Linked DNA regions of Drosophila melanogaster. Changing the gene in region 3 together with the main gene of any one other region gives a genetic interaction. Each region holds a gene or a part of one and is shown on either strand. Other genes may lie near its edges.

The links.
Region 1: of Ilk (region 3) and ics, changing one suppresses a phenotype caused by changing the other (phenotypic suppression), as found in Drosophila melanogaster (one study listed by BioGRID).
Region 2: of Ilk (region 3) and parvin, changing one suppresses a phenotype caused by changing the other (phenotypic suppression), as found in Drosophila melanogaster (one study listed by BioGRID).
Region 4: of Ilk (region 3) and sli, changing one enhances a phenotype caused by changing the other (phenotypic enhancement), as found in Drosophila melanogaster (one study listed by BioGRID).

What each region holds. Positions count from the first base shown.
Region 1 is NT_033779.5:13,638,878-13,644,669, reverse strand, and holds ics (icarus), read left to right. Parts: upstream 1-2,067; 5' UTR 2,068-2,650; intron 2,651-3,397; exon of another isoform or gene 3,398-3,399; 5' UTR 3,400-3,421; coding exon 3,422-3,560; intron 3,561-4,188; coding exon 4,189-4,810; intron 4,811-4,873; coding exon 4,874-4,964; 3' UTR 4,965-5,223; downstream 5,224-5,792.
Region 2 is NC_004354.4:19,743,939-19,749,189, forward strand, and holds parvin (parvin), read left to right. Parts: upstream 1-2,102; 5' UTR 2,103-2,250; coding exon 2,251-2,371; exon of another isoform or gene 2,372-2,549; intron 2,550-2,703; coding exon 2,704-2,793; intron 2,794-2,872; coding exon 2,873-3,144; intron 3,145-3,311; coding exon 3,312-3,932; 3' UTR 3,933-4,520; downstream 4,521-5,251. Other genes in the region: Rpp20 (ribonuclease P protein subunit p20), read left to right, coding at 591-743, 817-1,167; CG33932 (uncharacterized protein), read left to right, coding at 1,169-1,615; Alr (augmenter of liver regeneration), read left to right, coding at 4,975-5,251.
Region 3 is NT_037436.4:21,214,775-21,220,070, forward strand, and holds Ilk (integrin linked kinase), read left to right. Parts: upstream 1-2,126; 5' UTR 2,127-2,289; coding exon 2,290-2,378; coding exon of another isoform or gene 2,379-2,382; exon of another isoform or gene 2,383-2,792; coding exon 2,793-2,958; intron 2,959-3,016; coding exon 3,017-3,562; intron 3,563-3,624; coding exon 3,625-4,170; 3' UTR 4,171-4,466; downstream 4,467-5,296. Other genes in the region: CG10508 (uncharacterized protein), read left to right, coding at 1-338, 599-727, 802-1,009; Trmt112 (tRNA methyltransferase subunit 11-2), read right to left, coding at 1,355-1,549, 1,703-1,804, 1,870-1,947.
Region 4 is NT_033778.4:15,919,081-15,924,358, reverse strand, and holds the start of sli (slit), read left to right. Parts: upstream 1-2,240; 5' UTR 2,241-2,720; intron 2,721-5,278. Other genes in the region: bdg (bedraggled), read left to right, coding at 1-280, 350-585, 648-1,176.

The DNA.
Region 1 (5,792 bases), on a different chromosome or scaffold from region 3:
AAAAGTATGCGCCCATGTCCGTGTGCTGACAGCTCCATAAGAGAGGATGTTATATTTCTGTTGCCAACAGTCGGATCGAATTATTCGGTCCACTTTAAGCCCACTTGAAGCTATTCAATCAGCCGACAACTCTTTCGAACTGTGGTCGTTCAATTCCGTGAGAAAGGGACACAAATTAGTGAGGGCAGGCAAGTGCCATCAATTAACTAGAATCCGGATCGATTATTTGCCGCTCCTACGCACATTCGCACATTGGCATGGATAACATTTAAACGAAGTAAACACTTAATGCGAATTTATGGCCGCCAAATGTCCAATTTGGAATTTAAGCGAGCTTGGCAATGAAGAATTTATGGTTTTTGGTCGCTATTGCGGTTAGAATTTTACATAGAAAATCGAACTGCAAAGTTCAATATAATTTTATGAAAGAATCGATTACCTAACAAAGGACACTTCTCAGGCTTTGATTTTGCTACACAATACAATACAATGCCTTAATTGCAATCATATATTAATATGAGTGGAACTGAGCATAAACTATGTATTTCCAAACATTTTGGCCACCATTTCAAAATTAGCACAATTTGCGCCGAGCTGCAAAAGTTTGTCAGCAGGAAAAAAAGGCAAACAAAAAGTTAATTAAAACAAAAATTACGGACAGTGGCCGGCGGTCGTTTGGTGGCGACTGTGCCGCAGCATTAGCAGTGCAGCCAAAAATGCAGCCGAAAAATCTGCGCGCCATCTAAAACAAAAATTAATTTTTGGGCCAGGGAAAGTTTTTATTTCCCTCCCATTGCTGTTGCTGTTGTTCTTGTTGTTGTTGTTGTTTGCTGGCCAGGCGAGAGTTTGCATTGTTTTGCATATTTTATACGGCGGAAGTGTATACGGCAAAGGCACTCGCCATCATGCCAACTACCCCAACCCAAAAAAAAAAAAAAAAAAGCGAAAAAAATGGTATGTGCAACACGCAAATTATGCAGGCGCATAAGACAAACTTTCTGTTTTGCGGATTCGACAACCGGCGGGATGAAAATTAATACGAAAGCCAAAAAACGGGGTTGCCCCCCCACCCACACAAACATCTAGTTCCTACGTATTTCTGAGATCCAAAACTGCATCGGCAACTGGAGCACCGCAGAGTAATTAAAAATACAGCCAATGGCCAGAGCAGAAAAACCCCGAGCAGCTTGTACTGAAGGAGATCATATCGGCCATGTTTGCAGCCCAGAAATCTGAGTCCCTTCAAAATTTGCATCTAGCATCCATCAAATAGATAAAATTGAAGAAATGTCTCAGCTTGCAGTTCTAATAAAAACTATTAAAAAAGAAAAGAAAATTAAACTAAAATGCATTAAAAAGGGTAAAAGCCAACATGACTATATTGAATTGATATTTTATTAAATGTGCTCTAAGCTCATTTCTTATTGCACTGCAGTTTTCAGTTTATAACGGTATAAAATTCTTAAGTGGCTAAGTAATAAGAAACAGACTTACTTTATTATTACTGTTTCTATATTGTTTTCTTTCGGTTCTAAGCGCTTAAAATAGCTTATATTGTCCCAGACTTTTTGAGATTCAGGCACACAGCAAATGGCTGCCGAATTGCAAACGCGATTTAAATGGGTAATGCCAGGACATGGCGATTGTTTTATAATGCAACGTCCCCACTTTCCACTTTTGCGCCTGCAAGCTTATTACAACGGTTAGCTTTATATTTACTATCCCAAGTCGTGTCCTTACTCACTAATATATCGAAGTTTACTTTCATGTGTATATGGTGTGAGCAGCAGAAGTAAGGCAAGAACGTAAAATATAGCGAAAAAAGTCATGATGTCTCACTTCACATGGAGATGTGATAAATCATATTAAAATCTTATATGCGTCAACGAGATGGCTGCATTTAAGATATTAATCAACTGTGTAATTAACTAATCAACAAAGCGCCTATTTCCAAGTCGACAAACCACAGATTTCATGCTTTAGTTATGCCTGTTTTTTGTCTTTTCGATATAATTCAAACTGGTTTCGACACTGTAGTGAAGATGCTGGAGAAAAAGCGAAATACTTTAAACAAAATCAACAAAACCCGGTATTGAGTTTGGGTTCGATTTGTTTTTTATTTTTTCCTGTCTGCCGGCAGTGGCGACAATCGAAAAAGGCAAAAACCAGCCCCCAGCTATTATTCGGATCCCCCATCACCTCCAACTCGCCCACATCCACATCGATCGATCTTGCTGACGCTGCGAGAGATCTTCTCAGTTTCTCGAGACGATCGGACGACGCACGACGCATTCCGCACTTTGGGTCTATTTTCGTGATTAATTTCGAAGAGCGGAGACGTATTCTAATAGGAACCCATGTTCCATTCTGTAACGTGAGTGCCATATAATCTGCAGAAATCAGTACGAATTCGTCCAGATACTCAACAATTTTACGCATACAGTATGAAAAGCCTTGGTGTTTTCCTACAAAAATAGGTCAAGTGCAGTGTTTGTGTAACATAGTGACCTAAAAAACGTTTAAATTCGTTTTCATGTGGATGAAAAGTGCTGAAAACTGACCGAAGAAAAACATATGCTAACAAAAAGTGCAGTTGGCGCAGTTTGAGAGCTACTGAAAGTGGCTGCCAAAACAGTTTTAGAATTACTCTGTAAGTAATTGTGGTTCATTACTTAGTTTTAGACCAACTACACGAAAAATATATAAAAATAAAAATAAATACATTTTACAACAATATTTTATATTTTAATTTAATACATAAATTAATACATAATTTAACATAATACATAATAATAATGTTAAGTCCTTTAAGACATTTGAATATTTCATTAATCGAGCAAAGTAAAAATAAACAAAATTATATCAATATTATTAAAGAATGCATGTTATTATAAATTCAATAAATAAAACACGTTACAATTAAGTTTTTACCAATCACAAGTAAACACACTTTCTACATGTAGATATGATAACATACATCGAACGCGCGTAAAATTTATGTTGGTACCTTTTTATCAACAATTGTTTGGTGAGCTTTGATTTCACATTCATATATAAGTAGATACAAATGAATAATGAACATCTTTTTTTTTAAATAATATAAATATAAATATTATTTAATAAATGAGCTCAATACTTATTATTCGATTAAGTCATTTACAATATCTTACATTGCTTCCTGTCGATGTAAAATTACATATTTCTACTTGTCTGGCAGCCCTGAAATACATATAACAGATATAATAGCTCACATTACAAAAAAATTGCTTACAAAATTTAAAAAAGCATAGAATTAGTTTGCCAAATTCTTTTACTATTCTGCTTTTAGAAATAAAAATTTATTGACTAACCTTCAAAATAATTAATTAGAAATGTATATTTTGTTCTGGTATTTTTTAGGGCGTATTAGGAATCAACGAAAATGAGTCAGTCTTGTATACCAGTGAGCGCAAAGATGTCGAAGGCAAAGAAGGTTTTGGATGAAGCCCGAGAAACTCACAATCCCGAGTTGGATTTGGCCGACAAGGGGCTGTCGTCCTTCGAGGAGTTGCCCGGACTGTGTAAGTATCAAAACCAAAGGATCTTGAAGGAATTATACGGATTTTTGCACTTCTGAGTAAACATAATGGTGGGTTACTTCCACGCAGAATGGAGCCTCGCCCAGCTGCTAAAAAAATTGTAAATTAATAATATTCTAGCGTATGTATTTATGTTGTGGTAATAATATTCATTTAAAATGAGTCTAAGCATCTTTTTAAATGGAGTCGCTTAGTTTTATTTATTGTGATGACGCCAGCAGCAAAATATGCATAAGTTTGAGTGTAGAGAACGTAAACAAACACTGTAAATACCGCAAATAAGATGTGTATACATATCTGGGAAATGTACTACAACTCCATAACTATGACTTCATTTACATAAAATTAGAATATACTACAATTATTAATCTTAAAACCATTAAATTTTTGAGAAAAAAAAAACATTGCGCATGCCTCTGCTTATATTGTTGTCCCGCTCCAACATTCGGCGTCTATACTTGTTGCCTGCAATCAGCTGTTTGCATTTAAACCCAGTGGTGAATTCACAGTGCATTGGACAATTATGAAAAACAATCTTTGATATCACGAAAAAGGAAAAATATGTATTTTAAAGAGTTTAGTATTCTTATTAATATAATTTTTTTTGCAGTCAACATGTCCAACATCACGCGCTTGACCCTGTCCCACAACAAGATCAGCGTAATCAGTCCGGGAATCGCGAACCTACTGAATCTGGAGATCCTGAACCTCTCGAACAACCAGCTGACCGAACTGCCCGTTTCGCTGTCGTCCATGCCAAAGCTACGCATCCTCAATGTGTCCATCAATCGGCTGATAAATCTTCCTCGCGGCTTTGGAGCCTTTCCGGTGCTGGAAGTGCTCGACCTGTCCTACAACAATCTCAACGAACAGGTCCTGCCTGGTAATTTCTTTGGTATGGAGACACTGCGTGCTCTGTATCTGGGCGACAATGACTTCGAGTATATACCGAAGGAGGTGGGTCAGCTGAAGAATCTGCAGATACTCGGATTGCGTGACAACGATCTTCTGGAATTGCCCCGCGAAGTTGGGGATTTGGTGCGACTGCGGGAGCTACATATTCAAAACAATAGGCTGCAGGTGCTGCCACCAGAGATCGCCCAGTTGGACCTACTGAGCAACAAGTCGGTCATGAAGATGGAGGAGAATCCCTGGGTCAATCCCATCGCCGAGCAATATCTGCTGGGCATTAGTCACGTCATCGACTACCTCAAAACGGAGACCTATAAGATGTGAGTGCACCATAGATCCATATATCCATAAATGTATATTCATCTGATCCTTTTCCTTGACAGCATCTACAACCGCCACTTGCAAGCAGGACGCAGTGGACCGCCGCCACCCAAAGCTGACAAAAGCAAGAAGGCCTCTCGAATTCGCGCATAGTGATTCTCCACCAGAAGATCCCAAGATCCCATGGAATTACAAATGTGTTCGTCTCGTTCGTTGTTAACCAAACCCGTTTTCGTATACTAATTTATAAGTACTTTTAAACTAATGCGTATTTCTGCAATGTGCCTTGACCCTTAGTTTCACTAATGAAAATAAAACAAAATAATAGATGCATATATGTATTCCTGCTGGTTTAATTTCGGATCCTATGCGCAAAAGAATCGTTAAATAAAGACACGCTTGTATATTTTATAAAATAGTAGGTTTTTCTTGTTTTTATTATCTTTTCTCATATTCATTCTTCTTTTTTAAGAAATTTGTTCATAATCATAATTAATTAGTTTACTTAAAGTCAATTAATTAATTCTTTATTTATTTTAATTAAATTAATAGTTAAATGTTTTTTGTTTTTGTTCTTTGTTTTCTATGTTTGAGAAAAACTAAAAGCATAGTTCTGCTTTGTTCGCTTTGAGTTTGTTTCGTTTCTTTGCATTTTTTCACTTGTCAATTTGAATTGAATACATTTTTTTTTTATCAATTTATGTTATTTAATTATTTTGTAAACGTATTTCGCCTTCACTGTATCTGCAATTCAAATTTAATTTATTCCTTAAAGTATATTTTAGTATTTATATTTATATATTTTTTATAGAGTTTATTTACAAGAGTTAAAGATGTTCTTTTACGAAAAGTCTGGCAGAAAAACAAACAAAAATGTAAATTCATTTATTCAGTAAATTTCTCCAAAATGATAGCACGGAAACGTCTTGTAAATTCGAATTGAGATAATTCCATAGCTATGCGTCACGATATACAAGTTGG
Region 2 (5,251 bases), on a different chromosome or scaffold from region 3:
GGTGGGGGCCAACTTACGCAGGAAGATGCAGACCCGGCCCGCCCCTCATCAAACAACTCACCCCGACAGACATGACTACCCCGAGTGCATCAGCGAGTTATGTAACTTGTACTTTTTTCTTTCTTCTTTTCCTGCTGCCCGAGGAATTCGCCAGCGGAAGTGTGTAAGTGCGCTAGTGTATGTGTGTGTGTGTGCGAGTGTTGCGATTTGGAGTGGCGAAGTGGCGCCGCGCGGCCAAGTTAATTCTTGCTTTGGATGGCATCGATCGGTGCCTTGGCTTACGGTCTGGTGTACTTGATAAGGTGCCAAAACGAAAAACATACCTTTGTTGTTACGAGAGTACGACGAAAAATTTTCAACTGGCGAGAATCTCACGAGCCTGGCGATAGCTATAGCGATGGGCTGGCTCAAAACTATCGAGAGCTGTCACGGTGACAGCTAGAGCCAGGCTGCCAGATCGCTCAGCTATTGCCTAGTGTTCGCTAGAGTTGGCCAGTGTTGGCCAGCGTGCGATTCGGAATGGAGTCGCGAGTCCGAAACTGCGACACGCGCAGGTAAATGGAAAACACAAGTCGCCTCCTCCGCCGCTGATGATGGGAAGCAATTATCCCGAGCACGGGACCAAGCCGAGATCCGCCAAATACCACAAACAACAGAACCACCGAGTGGTGCGCAAGCAGCCGCCGCGTCCCGCTGTTAGCGACCGCCACAACATCTACATCACCAGCAAGACAGACTTTAAGGCAAGTAGAACTGAACTCATGCTGGATGGTGAATCGCCCATGTGCTAAGTGACAGAGTCCATCTCCTTGACAGGCCCAGCAGCGCCGCTGCGAGGAGCTGATTAACTCCGGCGCCCACGAGATCTTTCTGCATTGCATGGGCTTCTCCGTAACCCGCGGCCTCAATATCGCCCTACGCCTCGTCCAGAATTCTGACGGCGCCCTTAGCTACGCCATCAACACCTCCACCGTTCAGCTGGTGGACGAACTGCACCCGCTGTGCGATGCCGAGGACATAACCTTCCGCCAGCGCAACAACTCGGCCCTGCACATCAAGATCCTCAATAACAGTCTCTTCGACATCGCCGTGCCGCAACCGTCGCAGTCCCAGACGCAAGCCCAGTCCCTGGGCCAGTTCCGAGGCAAGGCGAAGGCCAGGCAGTAGCATGTTCAAACTCTCGGAGCTGGTGCGCTGGCTGGGGCTCACCGAGTTCGAGATTCTGGTCAATCTGTGCGGCCTGCTGGTGTTCACCATCACGCTGACCGTCAAGCTCCATCTGCAGGCCAGGGCCGGACCCGGTGGCATACTCCCGGAGCCCATGGGCGACTGGTTCACCGTCTTCAGCCCCCTGTTCTTCATCGACATCTGCAACGCGTACTTTTGCGTCATTGTGGGCATCCGCATGTACCTGGACTCTAACAACAAGCGCAAAGCCCTGCATCGCTTCATGTGGAGCACGTATTTCCTGGTGCTCATCGCCATCTTCAAGTACCTGCTCTGCCTGAAGCTATCCAGCAAGACGGGCCTCGAGTATTCGGAGGTCTTCTCGCCGATCTTCGTTCTGTTGCAGCTCGTGGCTGTGCGCGCCTGCCAGTTGCCCAACTCCATCTAAACCATAGACGTAGTATAGCCCTAGTTCCGTATTATACATATATGTAACTATTCTGAAAGCCTTTAAATCATTGGATTGGTAGTTATCTGTATACGCAATGTGGTACAATAATTTTTAAGCGGTACGAAATTTATCTTTCTGGATATAGCATATCTAATATATACGAATTATATCTGATCTGATTCGGTATGAAGGACATACATACATACATATGTTGTTGTGCTTTTTAATCAATGATCTAATGATCTACGCATTATAATTTTTTTAAAATTTCCAACAATTTAATTTGATGTACAAATTCAAAAACTATTAAGCTGATATGAATTTCTTCTAGCTGTTGTTGTCAAAAGCCACATTTTTTTTAAATTATAAATGAAAAATAACATTTAAGCTCATTGTTTTAATTTAATCTAAGGTCTTTTTAAACAATTTTTATAATTGGCAATTTAGTTTTTATTCGATTTTTTTGGAAGTTTCTCTTGAGTCCGAACGCCAGTGTTGGACAACATGTGTGGTGGGCCTGCGATCAGGTGGCAGCCCCAAGGGAAACTGATTGCTCAGCTCCGCCCGAAACGAATCGAAACAATAACACAAACTGTTCACTTAGTCCGGAATTCTTGGAATCCAGCAGCACCATGTCCACACTGAACCGCCCTAAATCCCCGCACACGCCCACCGCCATTAAAAAGGGCGAGAAGGAGGACAGCTTCTGGGACAAGTTCAGCACTTTGGGCCGCAAACGCGGCACCCGCGAAGGTAAGTCCACTTGATGATTGGAGCTCTCCAGATGGCTATTGTCGGCCAGGAATTGATGGGTATCCCAGAGTATTCCATTCTTGGACCCCTGAACCTCCGAAAAGTGGCCCAAAATGACCCAATGGATCCTCCCCCTGCGCACTGGAAGCTCTTCTGGGAACAGATGTGCGGATGCGCTGATTAATCAGAACATTGCGTCACTGTTGACCCACACAAGCAAACGGCGCTGATAATCGAGAGTGTGTGCGTTTGTGTGAGATGGCCTTGTGTCGTCACCGTTTTTGTTTACCTTGTTGATACCCTAAATACGCATCCGCTTGCTCCATTTGCAGTGAAGAAGGTCCAAGAGGAGGGCAAGTACGCCATCGACTCGCCTGGATCGCCCAGCCAGTATGACATCCCGCCGGAGGACTATGCCCTGCGTAAGTGCATTCGTTTTGAAGGGGCATCTCCTCGTATACCCATCGCATTTCCCACAACTCATCACATTTGATCCTACAGGCGAGCACGAACAGCGCGCCGTCATCGATCCACAGTCCATCAGTGATCCCCAGGTGATAAAGCTGCAGCGCATCCTCGTCGACTGGATCAACGACGAGCTGGCCGAGCAGCGCATAATTGTTCAGCACCTGGAAGAGGACATGTATGACGGCCAGGTGCTGCACAAGCTGTGGGAGAAGCTCACCGGCAAGAAGCTGGACGTTCCTGAGGTCACCCAGTCAGAGCAGGGCCAGCACGAGAAGCTCAACATCGTCCTGAAGGCCGTCAACCATGTAAGTAGTAGTAGTTTATGTTTTGCAGGATTTAAAAATCGGAGTTACCAACATTTAATTATTTATCCATTCTTAAAGTCGAATAGAATAATTTTTATTCGATTTACAATTAACATTCCCTTTTCTCGCGATATAAGAATAAATTTTATCCTTGCCCACACCCACAGACACTCGGCTTTCACCAAAAGATTCCCAAGTGGTCGGTGGCCAGCGTGCACTCGAAGAACATTGTGGCCATATTACATCTGCTGGTGGCACTGGTGCGTCACTTCCGGGCGCCCGTTCGCCTGCCAGAGAACGTGTTCGTGACCGTCGTGATTGCGGAGAAGAATGCGGGCGTGCTGAACGCGCAGAAGTTCCAGGAGCAGATAACGTCCGAGTACGACGACCTGGGCATGCGCTGCGAAAAGGACGCCTTCGACACGCTGATCGACTGTGCGCCGGACAAGCTGGCCGTGGTGAAGAAGTCCTTGATCACGTTCGTGAACAAGCACCTGGCCAAGCTGAACTTTGAGATCAGCGATCTGAACACGGACTTTCGCGACGGCGTATACCTGTGCCTGCTGATGGGCCTGCTCGGTGGATTCTTTGTGCCGCTGCACGAGTTCCATTTGACGCCGCAGGACGTGGATCAGATGGTCAGCAACGTGGCCTTCGCCTTCGACCTGATGCAGGACGTGGGCCTGCCCAAACCAAAGGCGCGGCCGGAGGACATCGTGAACATGGACCTCAAGTCCACCCTGCGCGTCCTATACAGCCTGTTCACCATGTTCAGGGACTTCGCCTGAGTGAAACCCGGATGGAACGAGCCAGCGGGTTGCAGGAGCAACAAGCGGCGCCAATTTTACATTTTATATTAACTTTTTGATAGTGTTTACACGCCTAATTTATGTGCGTTCTCGAAACTGATTGTAGGCGATGCAGCGGTTAAAGCTTACTGATCCTAACTCTCAAAACCACAACTAAATGCTGCGTCGCGTATAATCAGCCCAAGGAATGTTTATATATATATATATATATTTATGTGTCGTACGTCTAACCACTGCGATCTGCTCCAGATTCAGATTGCTCGGAACAGGAAGGAGCAGAGCAGAGCAGAGCTAACCCAAACCCAAAATCCGGCGGCCAGTTGTTAACTTGTCTTACTCACGTGCCAGACGTTGTAGTTGTTACTAAGTGAATTTATTGTATTAATACATTATTTGAACACAATAACCGAGATTGTGCCTTTAGATCACACAGAGCTTTTGCAAATTATGTCACAGATCAGATTTTAACGCTGTAAATGTAGAAGTTTACGGAAAAGTCTTAAAAAAAAATTTTATTGTGTACGTTAAAAATTTGGATCAGAAAAATCAATAAATATTGCCAATAGCATATGTGTTATTCTATTTTAAACAGTTCCAAGGCGCAAAATTTATCTGGGGCTGCAGCACTCACAAACGCCAGCTTCCATCCTATTCACATGTAAGTTCTTTCGAGCGTCTCGAATTGATTGAGAAACAAACCTTAGTAATTTTCTGAACGCTGTGCTATTTGAATTGTCGCGGTTGCGCGCGCAACTCGCAACGGTCTGGTATCGATCACAGCTGCGAGCAGGCTGCCAGATCGCTTCCCGTTCGGGAACGATTTCGCATCGATTTTCGATTGCTGGCCGGTATAATTTGAAAATGTTACTTTGCTGACCGGATTTTGGTCCTTGGCCAGATGTTGGCCATGAATCTAAAAGCCAGTATTTAGTAACTTGCGTTGATTGCAGCCGCTTAACTAAGCCGCTTAGCCAGATATGTCCTAATGTTATGTGTTTCGTTTCGAAACAAGGTGGCAACCATGCGCATGCTTTTTATGATTTTCACAATAGCCGAGCGAAGTTTCAAGATTCTAGAACTACCCACCACACCAACGCTTCTGCTGCGCCGCCAGTCCCACAACTACGGCTACGACTACATCAGCCCCACGCACATCGAACTCAGCCGGGAAGCAACTCGCCTGGTAATTCGCCGTCTGCAGCGCACCGTTCTCCGCCTGATCCGTGACCCGGACTTCATCATGTCTGCCGAGGCGAATCCCGAGATGGATAAGGAGCACCACGAGTCCCCATTCGCAG
Region 3 (5,296 bases):
CTGGAGACCCATCTGTCATCCATCTCTAGTGCTTCCTCATCGCATTCATATGCCTCACCCCCACAATCACCCCGCATCTTCCAGCAAAGCTACGAACGCCTGACCACCAAGAGCATTTTGGCCAAGAGCGGCCATAACCATTTTGGCCACCAGAGCGATACCAATAACTACAGCATCGACGGCTACCTGCATGGCTCCTCAAATGCTAGCTCCTACTCCTCCTACTCCGCATCAATGACGTCCTCATCGCTGGTCTCGTCGGCCCAGTCCAACTCCTCATCCATCGCGAGGAGGCCAGCTTTCGAAAGTCGTGCTCGCACCAAAACCGATTCACTGAAGTATGCCCGCTAAAACCAAAAACCGTTCCGATAACCGTTTTTTTACCGTTTCGCTAAGTAAAATCAATCGTTTTGCGCATGAGTTTTTCAAGGAGTTCGCATGGATAGTATCGGGAAATCCGTTTTTGAGATATTATTTTTGAACCTGTTAACTATATTCTTTCGGCATGCCTTAAGCTCAATATAAAATATTAAATCTTTGAAATATTTTAGTTTAATATAAAAAGAACTTTTATACAAATTTAACCAATTCTCAACAGACATCGTCAGCACTCCCTTGGAAATTCGCATAATTCGGAATCAGCTGAATTTCAATCTATTATCGAACGAATGGCCAGTTTGGGACCCAATTCCCAGCTAAGCAAGGGTGCAGATGAAAATCTTTTGCTGTAAGTAGTTCAACTTAATGTCGAAGTAATAAAAACAAAGACTCATCTATGAATATAATTAAAATTATTTTCAGAGCCGATTATGTCACCTGGAATGGACCCAACACGAAGCTTCTTCAAAAGCAGATCACTCAAGGACCTAATGCTAGTCTTCTCACAGATCGCACCTATAAGCCAAGGGGTGGGAAATCGGAACTCTGCAAAGGACCCCAGTCCGGATTGGCGAAGGGCAGCATCTACGCCCAAGGCAGCAACAAGAGCGCCAACATCAAATGCAACTAGGCGGGAGTATCTCATCTGGAACCTCCCCCAGAGTGCCAAAGAAGTGAAGATGAATCTTAGTAGCCAAGCACCACCCTCCACATGTTCAGACTTACGATTTATATATGTCGTAGTGTTTTTTGCTCTTATCCTTAAACACCTACCAAATACCACACGAGTACGTAGACTCAACAAAAAAAAAAAAAAAAAAAAAAAAAAACGAAGTCACATTCCATCCAAGCTCCAATTGTTTTTAGTAACTCGTAAATAAACAAACTTTAAAACTAACAAACTTATTTAATATTAATGCGCGTCTGGAGAAAGGGGATTATGGGGATTATGGTACAAAAAGCACATGGGTGTAATCTAGACCTCGTCCTCGTTAAGGAGCATGTTTGGTATACCATCGCTGATGGGAAACACACGACCTGTCTCCGGGCACTCCAGTTGACCCTCGAGCACGTCGATCTCGAAGAGCAGATGGTGAAGCTTCTGCAAAAGCAGTTCATTCTCCACAATGTTTTCAGGCTGAACGGCAGGAATGTCTTCTGTGAGTTCCGCCTAAAAAACAAATTCCAATTATTAACGAATATAAAAAATAACAGGTTTTAATAGTTTAAAACTGATTAAAAATATTTGAAACCAGTAAATTTGAAATCAGTAACACTATTTAGAACCATTCTATGGTTCTTTTAGAACCATTCTATCACTTACCACCTGAGCAGCTCCATAGACCGCTGACCAGTCCAGCTTGGGAAGGATTCTCTCCACAAAAGTTGGATTAAATTCGCTCTCCACCACTTCCTTTTTGTTAATCTAAATGCAAAAACAAATAGACCGTGAAACAATCAATAGCCAGGACTTGGGACACCGGAACTCACCGTCAGTTTCAGGGGAAATCCCACTTTGACGCCCTTGATGGCCACGGAGGTCAAGAAGTTGTATGTGCTGAGTTTCATTTTCGGGCTTGTAATGGTTTAATTAATACAAAGAGATGAGGTAAACAACAATGTTTTTAAATAATAGTTGCGGTGCACGTTGTATTCCTTCTTCTTCTTGCTTTAAACATTCACAATTGGTGTATGTCATCGATACCACGATACACACTTGTCGATGTTTTGCAGCAGTTGGCAACGCGAGCAGTGTGTTAAATATTTAAAACGTCCACACTGCACAAATTTTAATTGGAATTCTCACAACTGTCGCATTTTAAGCGTTTAAATCTGTTTCTAGATGTAAATTAGGTTGGAAAACCTATAATATCAGTGACTGCGAGCGGAATAAAGGAGTGAGGAGTAAAAATGGAGGACATATTCCACTGGTGCCGCGAGGGCAACTCGATTCAAGTGCGCCTCTGGTTGGATGAAACGGAGCACGACAACAATTTGGGGTAAATCCAATAGAGGCAACTAACTCCATCACTTTCTAGTTGCTTTATAGTGCACTTAGAAAGTTAAGCCCTCAAGTAGCAACCCCCTCTACCAGGAACGTTTACTTAGTCATCGCCTAAATACGCCCAAGATTTCGAGGGTCTTTCAAGTCTAAGTGACGTCATGATTTATTCTTGTGTTGTGTAAACAGACGAATCAAATATATAAGTATACGTATGTTCATATTTGCCTGTGTGCATATCGCGAGCATAAAACCCGCTTGCCATGTTTATATTGTTCTTTACTTATAATTAGTCTTATAATCCTTTAAAAAGGACCATACCTAACTCTAAGAGCATAAGTATATAAGGTCTATAATGCTCAAATTCCACCATAATTAAAATAAATAAAACAAATAAATTCGTACACTTTAGAGACGACCATGGCTTCAGCCCGTTGCATTGGGTGGCTAAAGAGGGCCACGCCAAGCTTGTGGAGACTCTGTTGCAGCGCGGTTCGCGTGTGAACGCCACCAATATGGGCGACGACATCCCACTCCATTTAGCGGCAGCTCATGGCCACCGCGACGTGGTCCAGATGGTGAGATAAAACAGAAACCAGCTAGGTAACTTATTTAAGAACTTATCTGCCTCTACAGTTGATAAAAGAGCGCAGCGATGTGAATGCGGTAAACGAGCATGGAAACACCCCCCTGCACTACGCCTGTTTTTGGGGCTATGACATGATCTGCGAGGATCTGCTTAATGCGGGAGCCCAGGTGGGAATCGCAAACAAGGACGGGCACACACCTCTTGAAAAGGCCAAACCCAGTCTGGCCAAGAGGCTTCAGGATCTTGTAGAAAAGAGCGGCAGAGAGGTTAAGGTTATCAGCTTCAAGGAACAAAGCTGGCAGGGATTGAAGACGAGATCCCGGGATGCTACTTTGTCCCGTTTCAAGGGAATCAGTATGGGAGACCTAGACCTGCATACCAAGCTGTCGGTGACGCCATCAGGAGAAACTTGGCGCGGACGCTGGCAAAAGAACGATGTGGTAGCTAAGATCCTGGCCGTGCGTCAGTGCACGCCTCGTATATCGCGAGATTTTAACGAGGAGTTTCCCAAGCTCCGCATCTTTTCGCACCCTAACATTTTGCCTATTATTGGAGCATGCAATTCGCCACCCAATCTGGTGACAATTAGTCAGGTGCGTTGAATTTAAATAACTTCAGAAATGACCGTATAAGGTAACCATTCTATTTTCTTTAGTTTATGCCACGTTCTTCGCTGTTTAGCCTGCTGCATGGAGCAACTGGCGTCGTGGTGGACACCAGCCAGGCGGTAAGCTTTGCCTTGGATGTTGCGAGAGGAATGGCTTTCCTGCACTCGCTGGAGCGCATTATTCCAACATATCACCTGAACAGTCATCACGTGATGATCGACGATGATCTGACGGCGAGAATCAACATGGGCGATGCCAAATTCTCTTTCCAAGAGAAGGGACGCATCTATCAACCGGCTTGGATGTCGCCGGAAACATTGCAGCGCAAGCAGGCGGATCGAAACTGGGAGGCCTGTGACATGTGGAGCTTTGCTATTCTTATTTGGGAGCTGACTACGCGCGAGGTACCCTTCGCCGAGTGGTCGCCCATGGAGTGCGGCATGAAAATTGCGTTGGAAGGTCTGCGGGTCAAGATTCCGCCAGGCACATCGACGCACATGGCCAAGCTGATTTCAATCTGCATGAACGAGGATCCCGGCAAGCGGCCCAAGTTCGACATGGTGGTTCCCATTCTGGAGAAGATGCGCCGCTGAAGGAGAGGGGCAAATTCAATAAATGCCAAGCCAAAATGTGCCTTGAGAAACCTTAGATTTGCCAACTAATTGTAATTACTACTTTGTGTTACCTTTGTCTAACTGAGCCTAACCGAAAACCGTACCGAAATGGCAAAGCAAGTGCAACTGCTCTGTCTAGAGTTTATGTTTCTGTGTCTCACTGTTCTCTACTTATGATTTTCCGTCGATGTTTAGTGCGGGTGCTCGATTTTTTACTTTTTAAGTTCAATAACCATTATGATCGTATTTATACAGAAATATATTTGTTACTAATTAATCAAATCGATCAAATTGATTGTGTACCAAAGCAAATGCGGAACCACTTACGAGGGCTTTAGTCCACAGAGCTTATTCGCTGAGCAGCAAACAAGTCGGGAGCTTTCCGCCGGAGTGGGTGGCAATGCATCAGCGCAGCGGGTCGGGTAACGTGAGCACGGCGGCCCTGACCTGGTTTTCATTTCAGCACGCGATTGTGTGCAGCTCGCGTGGGCAGAGCAAACTCGGCGCTTCAGAAGAGCGCGCCGGCGTGAGAAACTCGCGGCGAGAATGGCGCAAATTTGTTGTATTTGCTCGAAATAATTTATATTTATTATCCAATATGTTTTCATTTATAGGCTTAAGGAAAGTGTGGTATTAGTTATTGGCTGATTTGCCAGTGACACTTTTTATCATCCTTAAGATTTTGTTTTGCTAACGTACTTTATATTATTTAAAATCATCTTTTAATGTTGTTTTATTTTCTTTTCTAAATTGATGTTTAAAGCTCTTAAATTATATTAGACAAGGTACTTGTGATTTCTTTTTATTTATTTTAGCTTATAATATTTTGTTGTTCTAAACGATAATTTTGTTATTTTTTGTGTCATTAAATATCGAAAATATTTGGCAAATTATGATTTACATACTAGGATGAATCATATTTTTTCATAAATAGAAAAAAAGATTTTTATATTTAAATTAAAAATACGTTTTTATATGTATTTTCTTATATATAAATTTATTTATATTTTTTTACATTTAAGCCAATTTGTCTCTCGCTTTCTCCAACCTCTCTCTTGGCCTGGCTCTCACCGGCTAGTGGCTCTCTGTTTATGTTTTTGCGGCA
Region 4 (5,278 bases), on a different chromosome or scaffold from region 3:
TGATCTGGTAAATGACCTAAGGCTTTGTGGGTCCATGTCGGCATTCTTGGCATTGTCTTGGAACGTTTTGCTGCCCATTGGTCTGATCACATTGTCTGTCGTAGACTATAAGGCTTCGTTGTCGAATCAGTTTTATTATTGGCGTGGAAAGTCATACTTTACGTATTGGTCCAGGAAGATGGGCAGTCTTATCCAAATTGGAGTGCTGTTAGTCATTCCCGTGACTGCTATTATTCAAATCTACCGGTATTTGGCGCACGGGCCACCCGATATCTTGGAGGTGAGTCTATAATAATATTTGCCTTATTATTTGGCACTTTCAATAATATTATTTCCTTTTCTCTTTTAGCGCATTCAACTGCTGTACCGACCGCCCGAGGAGGGAGAGGAACCGCGTCGTCCATCCGCTCGACAAACGGCGTCCCAAAGTCGTCGTAATGCTTTGGGCCAGACCACGGAGGGCGGCCAACACGATGCACAGAACGATGCTCCGCCAAAGTACACACCACCTCCGTCCTACACAACGGCCACTGGAGCCCGCCTTGCCAAGCTTCTGCGCCAGAGCATTCGCCGCAGCGTAAGAAGGTACATAAAAACCATCCCTTAATATAAACAAAAAGTTATTTACGACCAATTTATCGACACAGGGTTCTCGGAGACTCAAGTCGAACGCGACCCGTGCTCTCCCTCGATGCGGAGTCTGCTTCGCCAGCGGCGCCGCCTGATTACCTAACCATACTGACCAATCCGGCTGGCAGTAGTTTCAACGCGGATCCTTCGCCAGCTTCCAGCAGCAGTCCCGAGTCCATAGAGATCGACCAGCGACCCGTTGGCTACTCCCAACGCTCGCAATCGTTGGGCAGGAAACTGCATCGTTCGGGTGCTTCGACACTGGAGAGGCGGCCCTATACGGCGGAGGATGTGGTGACCATACTGCGCTCCTCGGTGCGACATCGCCAGTCGCAGGGAGGCGGAAATTTGGTCACTGCCAGCACCCTGCCTCGCCCCCCAACCGCCGCCATGTCCACGCACTTGGAGGACGCCTCATTCCGATCCATAGAGAATCTTGTGCTGAATGCCGAGCCACCGGACAGAACGCCCGGTGTGGAGCTGGAGCTCGAATTGGAGGCTGGACAGGCGGAGGAGTGCGCGCGAAATAATACATCTGTGATTTAACTGACTAATATCGTACCGTACATAGCGTAACTCTTATGCGATCCACATATCCGCTTGCTTTCTTAGACTTGATTAGCGCTAGTTATCTAAATACGAATATTACCTTGTAGTTATGCGAATAATAACGAAAACAACTAGTTGGTACTCCCAAGTGTGAGCTCTTTTGATCCCTACAACCGGTATTCCCAGTTCGATCCAACCCACCCCATTTAATTCCATTTCACATATATTTTAGGCTTACGGATCGCGCCTGTCTGCACAGTTGCCCTTAAAATTATCCCAACAATGGAGTAGGCCTCCTACGTGCCCAGCTCTCGAGGGTCAGCTATTTAAGGGAATACGTACTTGGGCCCTAAGCCGATTAACAAACGTGACCAGTTGAATAAAAAAAGTGAAAATAAACGGAAGTCCAGGATGGCGTAGCCAACAAAGGCGCCTAATGAGGCGGGCCAGGAAGTTGCTGCATATTTCGATTAAAATGTCACGCCATTTCTTTTGTTTTCTTTGTGACTTGCATATTCCAAAGGGATTGGCCTGCAAAAAAGTTAATCCGCGGAATTTTTAAATCAGCACGAATTGGCGGTTATTATTTTAATATCTGGCAGCGCTGGTTCAAAGAACCAGTTCAAATGGGTTGAGTCTCGGCTAGAACTTTTGTGAAGTTCACACAATAATTGATACCGTTATTTTTACTTATAATTAGTAATTTTAATGCTAGAAATACATAAATAACAATTGAGACCTATATAAAAGCAAGTGATAAGGGTTCTTATACAAGCCAATGTGTGTAGTACAACTACTCTATAATTTGGGATGATAGTTATAAAGTTTTAAATAAATATATATTTTCATGAAAATATTATCAACACTTTAATAATGAACGAGTTTTTGGACCCTTATTAACCATAATATTTGAAATTTAAGTTGGAACAAGAAACTTTTAAACTGTTGGCGAACGCGGTATTTTTTAGGCCCTTCTTGCCGGGTGAGGTTACTCCTGCATCTGGTAACACTGCTCGGCAGCGAAACAGAAACATAAAAAATTCGAACGGCGACGAGAGCGGTCAGACGCACGCATCACTTTCAATCGCGTCGCGTAGAGCGTCCAAAAAGAATTATAGTATAAACCAAGAGTGAAGATTCCGGTGAGCAAAGAATTTGCAATTGCCAAACTTAAGCAAAAACCATAAAGTGTGCATTGGCAATTGAAGTCGCGCGTTCTTAGCCAATCCACATTTGCACGGCCATTTTAAAGCCAAGTTAAGGCCAAAGTTTTCTGCCGCGCCGTCTTCGTAAGTCGCAGGTCGAAAAGTGCTCAAACGAGATTTCCACTTGAAATTCCTGAATTTCGTTTGTCTGCGCGAATCGCATCGAATCGAATTGAAGCACAAATCGCAGCAGCAGAAAAGCGCAAAAGTCGAATTTAAATTCCGTCTGCAAAGTGCCGAAAATTAGTGTCTTTGTTGTGTTAGTGTTTTGTTTCTTTGTCTGTGTGGGTGTTACGATTACGATTGGATTAGCGGTGTTTTCGCCTGATTAAAACGGTAAGTGTCCTTGCGATAATCCTGCGTGCAAAGTTAGTTAGCTGGTGCCAAGTTCGCTCGCCACTCACACACCTCCACCGCCGCCACTCACAACTTATTTTGCTGCAATTTGCTCTAGTGTTTTGTATTAGCATTTTTATGTCCCGCCTCGCCAAAGTTGACAAACAAAAACGTACACACACACACATACACGCACCGACACGTAAGCACACGCACACAAAGGATTTCATTACATTTTGGGTGGGACGTAACGGTAACGTTGAAGTGTAACGTATAACCCTCCCCTCGTTCTATCTCTTTCCCGCCCAAAGCCCCGAATGCTGTGCTACCGAATTTGTTTTCGCCTTCGCTCAGTTCTGTTTTCTCCTGTTTTTATTTATTTTGATGGCGTATTTTGCCATTCCGCTTTGTTCGTATTGCGTATCCTGTCGCCTGCGCTATCCTTCTACAGTCGCATCTGGCTAGAAGGAACTATCGTGTGCCTCAGTCACATGAAAAATATTACACTTACGTAGGTGATTTGATTTTTAAATGTATAAAGTCCCCTTCAAATTGCTAATTGAAAAATATATAAGTTCATGTACATAATCTTATTATGTCATCAATTAGAACCACAACATCTTTGGTTTCCCATTAGTATTTATAGTAACATTTTCTGAGCCCAGGGTATTCTGGTTTCACTGTACATTTTTCGCTGTCAGCTTTTCTTCCTAGTTTCTGCCAGCATTGAAATGAGTTCGCAATAAATATTGCCCAATGTCAAATAAAAGGGCGATGAGCCAGCCTTTTTCCGCCATGGCCCCTTTCCACCTCGGCCTATCTCCTCCATTCGCTCTAATCTCGGGGGACACTAATGCTTTACGACAATTCCTATGCCGTATGCCGCCCAGTACAAACTTAATGCACACATCAATGGCAAATTAGATATACTCCACAGCAAATGTACTAATAACAATCATCGAGTGCGTGTGCGGGCGGGCTTCCGATTCATCCCATACCATACCATACCATACGATACGATACCATCCCGAACCATTCCATCCCACACATACGTCCTCTCAAGACGATTGTTTTGTTGATTTGGCTGTTACTTCCAATACATTGGCATTTAAGGGGCAGAATTGGGATCCACTTATGTGCCTGCCTTATGTCTCATTTGTCGTCGGGCAAATGGAAATCGTTTTGTTTTTGCCTTGTCAAGTGACAAATTTTCATTGTCTCCCGCCACTAATCGCTTACTTAAAACAAAAAAAAAAACCAAAAAAATGAAGAAGATACCACGCCAAAGACTCCAAACAAGAAATAAGACAAGTGTAAATAAACACTTGAGGAGGAGGGAGCGTGGGATCGGGAGTCACGACTAACCGATATCCTCTGTACAGTGTGGGCGGGGGCATATACGCAATGACATTATCATAAAAGGTGCACATGCCAGAAGTTAAGTCGCGACAACTTTCCGTTATAACTTTCAATAACCTTTGTTGTTTGCTCCAATAAAAGCATTTTAATCGATACTCTTGACTTGTGTCAATCCATTCGGATTTGTTTTTGGTTACTAATGGATGTAATGTATGAAGTTATTGGGGCGGCATAAATTAAGAACTTATTTCCTTTGTGGATTTCACGTTACTAAACAGATGGTGATGTGACGCAAATGAAGTCCTAACAAAAGGATATTTATATATATGGTATTCTTTCGCCTAGCTATTTACCTGTATTTTCATATTTATAAAAATACTAAAAGGCCATTCATATTTTATATGGCGTGTGGTCTAATTACTTATTTTTATGACCTAGAGAAGCAAAGATTATAAATTAGCCGTTAAACATTCCTTTCCTCCATCGTACATACCTTTCGATACCCTGTAAATTCCAGTGTATGTACTTAGAGTACGCACACGTACTTGCCTCTTTTGGTGGCATTGCCCGCGGCACCTTCACTTGGCGCAGCTTGCCTTAATTTCCAGCGGACAAACCACTTTGTTATCGCCACGCCGAGGGCCCTTTAATCTCTGGTAGTCCCTGGTTGGCTGGTCAGACCCACCTCCATCTCCGTCGCCTGCCCATTGATTTACGTCTCTATTTTCCAAATGTAGCGCAATCGATTTAGATTGATTTTGTTTAAACAAACTGCACAGCGCAGCAGAAGCAGCAGCATAAAAGGCACCAGAAAGTGTAATAAATAATTGGAAACGGAATCGTTGGGCTGATTTTAATGCCAGCGTTAATTGCGAGAGCCACCCAATTTCATTTCCATTTCCATGCCCAATCGAAATCCAAATGCCATTCCCCAACCCTCCCCATACCTTCAACATTTTCATGCCGATGTAGCGATGCCCTAGGCCAATTCCAAATCCAAATCCAATTCCTATTCCTATTCCTATTCCATCGATGCTTTGGTAATTAGTTGTGAATTGGATTGGGGATCACATAAAAGTGTTGATTACACACTCCGATGGCTGCGCCCCCAGCCACGCCCCCTTCCCGGCTGGGTGCCAAGTGTTTTGTTTGTGTTTATCTCGTCTTCGACGTGTCTTTTTGGGTTTTTCAGAGGAATT